2 linked regions of the Sus scrofa genome follow. The protein of the gene in region 1 purifies or fractionates together with the protein of each later gene. This does not show direct contact. Links are inferred from orthologs where the notes say so. Each region holds a gene or a part of one and is shown in the gene's direction. Other genes may lie near its edges. The genes, in order: RNF139 and INSIG1.

What was found.
Region 2: the proteins of RNF139 (region 1) and INSIG1 purify together in Homo sapiens (affinity purification with western blotting, with the first as the bait; 3 studies listed by BioGRID). This does not show direct contact. The link is inferred for Sus scrofa from reciprocal best matches to the Homo sapiens genes RNF139 and INSIG1.

Annotation. Positions count from the first base shown.
Region 1 is NC_010446.5:15,179,804-15,183,708, reverse strand, and holds the start of RNF139 (E3 ubiquitin-protein ligase RNF139), read left to right. Parts: upstream 1-1,188; 5' UTR 1,189-1,601; coding exon 1,602-1,782; intron 1,783-3,905. UniProt on the Homo sapiens protein: E3-ubiquitin ligase; acts as a negative regulator of cell proliferation through mechanisms involving G2/M arrest and cell death.
Region 2 is NC_010460.4:2,896,025-2,899,929, reverse strand, and holds the start of INSIG1 (insulin-induced gene 1 protein), read left to right. Parts: upstream 1-1,171; 5' UTR 1,172-1,247; intron 1,248-1,866; 5' UTR 1,867-1,888; coding exon 1,889-2,297; intron 2,298-3,905. UniProt on the Homo sapiens protein: Oxysterol-binding protein that mediates feedback control of cholesterol synthesis by controlling both endoplasmic reticulum to Golgi transport of SCAP and degradation of HMGCR.

The DNA of each region.
Region 1 (3,905 bases):
ATTAATTACATGTATAGGCAACAAATTTAGATCTTTTCCTTCCTAGGTTTGTTGCTGGGACCCTAAAACTAAACCAACAAAAGAGATTAACAGGAGAATAACAAGTTTCTCCGGTGTATACAGGCTTGGAGAAACTAAGTGATCGACAACTCAGGTGGCTACAATTTGGGGCTTATAAAGCTTCTTAACAAAGAACAGTGCATTGTAGAGAAGTGATAAGACAAAGGAAAAGGAGTTTAGGCTTTTAGGGGTGGCAAACTTGTGTAAGGTAAGTATGTGGGGGAAACTAATAAAGATAAGGATTGGTAAGACTTGTGACTGAGTCTACAAGTTTCCTTTTGGTAAAGGAGAGGGAGTCACCTTTACAAAATGGAAACTTATGTTCGCTTTTTAGGCAAATGGGAGGACGGTTAAGTGCTGAGGTGGAGAGTTTTTTGTTTCTGTTTCTCAACTGTCTTCAACTCAAACATAATCATGTCAAAGTGGCATACTTTGGGGTGGCATGTTCTGATTCCCTACAAAAAAGAATGGCTTCTTCTGCCCTGAGAAAGAACGGACTGCCTGGGCGTGCATACCTCAAAGGTTAGAAACGAAGAGGCCAGAATTCTTGCCCTTAAGTTACAGTGGCCCTTGATATTAGTAAAATGTGGCCAGCAAGTGTCCGCAGTTGTAACCAATCGGGTAGGAAACAGGAAAGTTGATGCGCAGAGGGATGCGAGGGCTACTTTCCTTGGTAATGCCTACCGCACCCAGCCCAACCCAAAACAGCAGCCACTCAGCACTGCGCATGCGGCGATGCCTCCAACAGGTCCCCAAACGGCCTTGCAGCATCTTCCCCGAAGAGTCAGCAGCTCGGATCCCGCCTTTGGGTGGGGTGGGGTAGGTCTGACGTTCGGCGCCCTTTGTCTTTCCTCCTTCCTAGCAGCTCTATATCATGTTTACGGGACGTTTAATGGTCTCTAGTAGAGCGACTAATAATTCCCTCCCGCGGCCCAATCCCTCACTGAGCCTTCACCGCCGTGGGTGACGCGGCCACTCTGAGGCCAGAGGGCGCGGCTGCGGAAGAGCGTCTGCGCCAACAGGTGGCGCCCAAAGCCGTGACGACGGCGCAGCCGCGGAGGTGGGCGGGAACCGCGGCAACGCTCAGGGACGTCTGGTACGACGAGCGTGATGACCGAATGGGGAGCGTTCCAAGCGCCGGATTATGACGCGACGTCGGCGCGCGGGCTCCGCGGTCTCGCGTAACCGCGAGCGCAGCCTCCCGGCCTGGCAACAGCAACAACGGCAGAGGCAGGCGGGCGAGGTCAAGATGGTGGCTCCGCGGGCGGGGGAGGCGGTGGAGGGGGGAGGAGCCAGGCGATAGCCGGCCGGAAACACCGACACCCAGAGGCCTCCCGGAAGCCGCCGCCGCAGCCTCAGCCGCCGCCTCCGCCGCCTGCTCCAGCTCGAGAGACGCGAGCGGGCGGCGGGGCGGGCCGTGAGAAAGACTCGAGAGGAGGGAGGGCGGGGCGGAGTCGCCCGCCTCCGCCCCCAGCCGGCGTCCCGGGCCCTGCCCCACGCGGCCCTGCCGGGCCCGCCCAGCCCCGGTGTGGCAGCGGCTCATGGCGGCGGTGGGGCCCCCGCAGCAGCAGGTGCGGATGGCCCATCAGCAGGTCTGGGCGGCGCTCGAAGTGGCGCTCCGGGTGCCCTGCCTTTACATCATCGACGCCATCTTCAACTCCTACTACGATTCCAGCCAAAGCCGGTTTTGCTTCGGGCTCCAGGTCTTCCTCCGGCTCTTTGGTAAGGGGGACTGGGTAGCCTGCGTCCGGAGACTGCCCGCTGGGCCGAGACGTGCTGCAGGGAGCGGGCGGGCGGCCGCGCGCAGGGTGTGTGTGTGTGTATGTGTGTATGTACACACACCAGCCCCCCCCGGGGGCGTCTTTGCAAGCCAGGGGAGGAGATGACACTTGTCTCAGACTTGACAGCGGAGCAGTCCTCCCAGCGACTCAGCCTCCTGTTCATTTTTGCCTCTAAGGGCTGGGAGAAAACATCAATGTGTGAGCGTGCGGCTTTGAGCCTGCTGTTTCTCTTGGGAAATGAGTACTGGTTTACCGCGTCCTATGCGACAGCTTTGGAAAAACAGCAACTGTTTTTGCCCCGTCTCGCAGTGCGTGACCTTGGGCTCGTGGAGCCAAAGCCTGGGCCTCAGTTTCCCGGTTTCCAAAATGCAGAGTACTCTTATGTTGCCATTTAAATGACATCCAAACGGAGGAGACAAGGTTTCGAATGTCAGACCTTGAAACCATTACCAAAAATCCTCGTGAAGCAGGCAGTACTTATAATGAGTCCTAAAATTTCCCGCGAATAGGGAAGATACTGAGAACGGTTATAAAAACGTGGCTAGGAAGTGATGACACTTCTGAAAATCATTGTCTTCGTCGTGTACGAATGGAATGTTAAAAACATCTTATACTTCCCTCCCTATCTTCACTTGCACTCCCAGAGTGAGAAACGTTTATGCTTAGAATTTTTTAAGTAATTGAAACTTGGCGAATTTTGTTGATGAGGTAATTCTTGTGTCAGCTTTTAGTGGGGTAGTGCTTTTGAAGTGTTGCTAGGATGAGCTGCTGGTGAGATCCTTACCAGGCCTTTCTGAATGGGGAGCCATCTGTTGCAGGTTTTTTCCTCCTTTTAAAAGAAAGTGTGGTAATGGTGAGCTTTGCTTTTAGTAAATAGCAGCACTTTGCCTTTGTTTGGTACTTTTGCAGTGCGTTTTCACTAGTGTTATCTAACCCAAACTACAAAAATCCCTCAAAGAAGGGTGGGTGGTGGTGGTTTACAAATGAGGAAACTTAGGGTCCTAGAGGTTGTGTTTTGCGTTTGATACACTGTAAGTAATTGGTTGCCAGAGCCTAGCTTTAAGTCTTCTGACATCAGGCCTCATTCATTTTCCTCTTCAGCACAGCTGCAGTCCAGATACAGAATGGTATCGTAATGATCATATGCTGATCGTATATTAGCAGATGTGGATGGACATGATGTTCCTTAGCACGGGAGTTGTCGGTACCCTACCGGGTACTTAATCCCAGCCATTCCTACTTAAGGCTGAAAAAGTGTAATGCCCTCATTATGTGTGGCAGAAATGAAGCTTTGTGATTTCCAGTGTATACAAATAGTGAGTCATTGTGTTGTACACCTGAGACTAATGCTGTGTGTCAATTATACGTCAGATAGAAAGCATTAGCTTTAATGTTGGTACTTCACACGTTTTATGTATTTTGCTTAATTCTGGGCAAAAGTAAGGTTAGTTAAATAACGTTAACAATGAAATTAATAAGAATGGGGACCTGTTGGGAAGGCATTTTATTCCCGCCAGAAGTCACTCATCACGATCATAAATTAACAGGCAGTTACTTATCTCATTATAGAAAGGTGGTCCCAGCTGAGCCAGCCCAGATAGCCTTGCCAGCCCCTCCCCCCACATCTATCCACATTAATTGGAGGACATTGCAGTCAGGACCTGTGCTGATTTCTGGGATGGGGAGACAGAAAAGTGGAGAAGATGGTTGTTTCTGTTCCTCAACCCCACATCAGGAGAAAGCTTGCTAGTAAGACATTGGAAGCTAAAAGACTTCTAGGAAACTTTATGAAATTTAGGATAACCAAGTGTTGTTTGGGGGCACTAAAGCCAAAAGTAACATGGACTTAAGGGTGGGAGAAGGAGCATCCCCCATTTCTGCTTTGAGAAGAGGGAGGAGGCCATGGTGGAGTAGTAGAGTTGGGGAGTGGGGGTTTGAGGCTGGGTTATTACTTTGCCAGGAGTGTAGCCCTGCCTTTCATGTGCTTATGGCATGTAACTGCAGAACCTCTGAGAGCCCCCTTGGGCCCAGGTGCTTTAATGCAGTGCTCTCAGAGTTAAGCTT
Region 2 (3,905 bases), on another chromosome or scaffold:
ACAAACCCTGAGGTACGATGCCACACAATGCAGTACTTGACACCGCCTAAGCCTGTGAGCTCTCTTGACCCTATTAGAGCACAGACTTCCTCTCACCTGCAGAGAGAAAAGGCCGCACACTTGCTCTACTGTCTTTCCAGGACATCTTAAGTATCTTGCTCAACAAAATGTGGGTTTCCAGGTGGCACAGGGCCTGCCCTGCTATTTAGATGGTGTGACCATGGGGCAAACAGGATATAAATACATTACATCAACAAGATAAAACAGCGTTCTATTTTTTCTAAGTGGTTCTGATGGTTTGTTTCCCACTGAAAGACAATTCGAAACGAGAAGAAACGATTTTATGAATGACGATTTCATCATTTACATTTTCGTAAGTATTTTATGTCAGAAAAGTTTTCTGAACCACGCTGGTGGCAGAAAAACATAAAAGCACCCTTAACAACACCTAGATCCTTGCACGCAGCATACACAGCTCTCGTCTCCGAGCCCTCGCTCCCTGCCAGCACCTGCTGGTCGCTGCGCACACGAACCCGCTTTGCATGAGCAGGTGCGGCCACCACTGAGAGAGCTGACAAGGACCAGAGGTCAGAGCATCTTCAGGGCACAGGCGGCTGCAGAGTGACCAAGTGGAGCGGCCGCAGGGGAGAGGCTTGCCAACCGCCACGCCTGGGTGAGGGTCCGGCGACCTAGCTGTTCAGCCGCCGGACTCCAGGCCCGCGGCTGCCAATCCCTGGAAATCGCCCTCTCTCCGCGGTCCGCCGGGAACCTGCGCGGGGCGCCTCCCACCCGGGGCCCCGGATGCTCTCGGCCGACCCCTGCCTGCCGTCGGTGCGGCCCCCGCCCCCGCCCCGTCCGGCCGCGCCCAGTTCCAGCCCCCGTCCCGGGCCGGGAACAGCCAGTCCGCCGCCGGCCGTCCGCGCTCCCGAGCCAGTGCGCCGAGCTCGGGGCGGCGGTGGCGTGTGATGACGTCATATGGGCCGCCCGCCCACGATTGGCCGCGGCCGCCTCACCAGACCGTGAGCGGCCGTGCGCGCGGCCGGGGCGGGGCGCGCATGGGCCACGCCCCGAGAGCGCGGGCGGGGTGGCGGGCCCGGCCGGGGTCACGTGAGCAGCGGTATCACCGCCCGCCTTATAAGCTGCGCCGCGCGTGGACGGCCGCGGGCTCAACTCCAGGCGTTCTGGGCCGCGACTCTCCTCGGCGACCTCCTCCCCCGGCGAGCCCGCGGGCGGGCGCCCTTGGCCAGGTACGAGGGTGCGGCAAGGGAAACTGGGCCGGGAGCGGTGGGGAGCCCTGGGGACGGGGATGTCGAGGTCCCGGCAGCCGCCCCTCTAGACGGCCTTCCATTGGGGTCCTCAGCACCCACCCTCGGGCCTGGGTGCGCACCCTGACTCCAGCCCCAGCCGCGGGGTGGGGGACTGCATCCCCGACATCAGGTGGGCTCTGCCAGGGCTGTTCTCCGTCCGGGACGACCCCAGCAACTTGTCCTGGGGCGGCCTGCCGCTGGCTGGCCTCTGCCTCCTGCAGACGGGCGGATTCTGAAAAACTTTTGGACTGTACGGCCCAGAACTTCAGGGCTCATACAAGGAGGTACTGCAGCGGGATCACCCAGGTGTAGCTAACACCTGGCTGTGGCTGCAGCCTGTGCATCACCCAGGGCCCGGGTGTGGACAGGGTCCTTGCAGCCCCTCCCCCGCAGTACTTGCCCGTGGGCTACCCTGTGCGGCTGACTCCCTGAGACTCGGGGGTTTTCCTGGCCAGTGAACGTGCCCAGAGCCATGTCTCTGGGCCTCTCTGAACCTGCCCTGTCCCTTGGAAGTGAACTTGATCGGGATTCCCTCTCCCCACCCCCGTTTTCCTTCTAGGAAAGCCTGTCAGGTGTGGCTGATGCCCAGACTGGACGACCACCTCTGGAGCTGTCCCTGTGTTAAGGGCACGAACCACAGAGGCCACCCCAGGGCCAGTGCCAGAGGGCAGGAGGCCAAAGTGGGGGAGATGATCAGCTCCTCTGTGTCAGGCCCCTCTCTGCTGGTGGCCCACGGTGCCCAGGGCCCTGACCCCTCTCATGCGCCTCAGAGCACTGGCATGGGGAGCCATGGTGGCAGCGGCCACACCAACAGCTGGCATCACCACCTGCTGCAGAGGAGCCTGGTGCTGTTCTCGGTGGGGGTCGTGCTGGCCCTGGTGCTGAACCTGCTGCAGGTCCAGAGGAATGTCACCCTGTTCCCCGAGGAGGTTATTGCCACCATCTTCTCCTCAGCCTGGTGGGTCCCTCCCTGCTGTGGGACGGCCGCTGGTGAGTAGAAACAAACGACGTCTGTCTGGTGAAAAGCGGTTTTCAGCCTGTGGGAACCATTTGTGTGAAAATGGAACCATCCACAGAGGAGACTGTGCATCCCAGCGACTGTGTTTGGGGAGGGGGCTTGGAGGCTGGAGGAGGCCCGGTGGTGGAGATGGCGGGGAGGCCACTGGCTGCTTCTCGCCCGCTCGTGCCAGGCTGGCCAGGTCCTTCCCTCTTCCTGACCCGGCCCTGAGGCCAGTGCTGGGGGAGCCCCGCAGCTGTCATCCTAACCAGCTGCCCGGATTGGCCGCGGGCAGGACTGGTGAGCGGCGGGGCTGGAGTGCCATTGGCTGCCCCGGGGAACACGCTACCGGCCCGGTAACTGAAAACAAACCGTCACGTGGGCCCAGTGGGCAGAGCTGCTGCCCCAGCCCAGCGGCCTCCTGCTCTTCCTTTTTTGGAACAGCCCAGTGAACGTGGCCAGAGCCTGGCCTTGCCCCCACCGCTGGGCTCTGGGATGAAGGAAAAGGAAGTCTCTGTTTAGAGTTTGGACAGGAGCCACCCTGGCCAGACCCAGTCGTGACCCCGGGGCAGCAGTCTGCTGTGGACAGGTGGACTGGCTGTTTGGAGTAGAGTTGCTCAGTTATTTGGTTGCTCAGTTATTTGGTTTTATAAAAATGGCTCAGAAGGTCACTCAGTTCTTCCGGTCACACAGCATTTGCTGTGGACGAATTAATGGATGAATGGACACCTGCCGGGTGCTCTCTGTGGCCTCCGCCCGCCTGGCTGTAAAGCACGGAGCAGACACTCCCGTCGGACAGCCTCGCGTTGTAGCTCCCCTCTGTGAACTGCCGACCTCGCGGGCTCTGATCTTTCTCCTTTTTTCTTCTTTTTTTGGCCGCGGTGCGTAGCCACTTGATGTGGGGTCTCAGTTCCCAGACCAGGGACTGAACCCCGGCTGCAGCGGTGAAAGCGCCACGTCGGCCCCACGGGCCACCAGGGAACGAGCGCCCTGCCTCCTGTTCCGTAGGCTGTGCTTCCTTTGGTCCTTTCAGCAGTGCTCTGCTTCAGCGCCACTGCACAGAGGCGAGAACTGAATCAGAGAGGTGAAGCTCCTGTGTCTGCAGGGGCACAGCGGAGTGACAGGTCCCCGTTCGCAACCCTGCCTATACTGCCCCCTGGAGTCTGGGTGTGTCCCCTGCACCCTGGAGAGGGGCGTCTTCTCAGCAGGCTCACTTCAAACTGCAAGGAAGCAGTGGGCTTGGAGTGGAGCTTGTGTCCTAGGCAGGATGCCTCATGACGGGGACACTATGGTGATGAAGCAGAGAGTGGAAGGTTTTTCTCTTTGTTCTCAGAAACACTGGCTACTGTTGTTTTTCTAACCCCTTTAAGTTCATGGCTCTACTCTTAATCCTTTTGGAGAAACATCTCTTTCTATTCACATTTGGCACAATAGTTTCTTTGAATCAAAAGCTTGATTTTTAAAACCACTGAACCATTTTAGTTTAGGCTTGATTTGCAATTGAAGCTTCAAGGAATTCCAGGCATATCTGAAACACAACTTCTCATACCTTACTCACTTTTTTTTTTAAACCATCCGTCAAGGGCATAAGGGGAGAAATT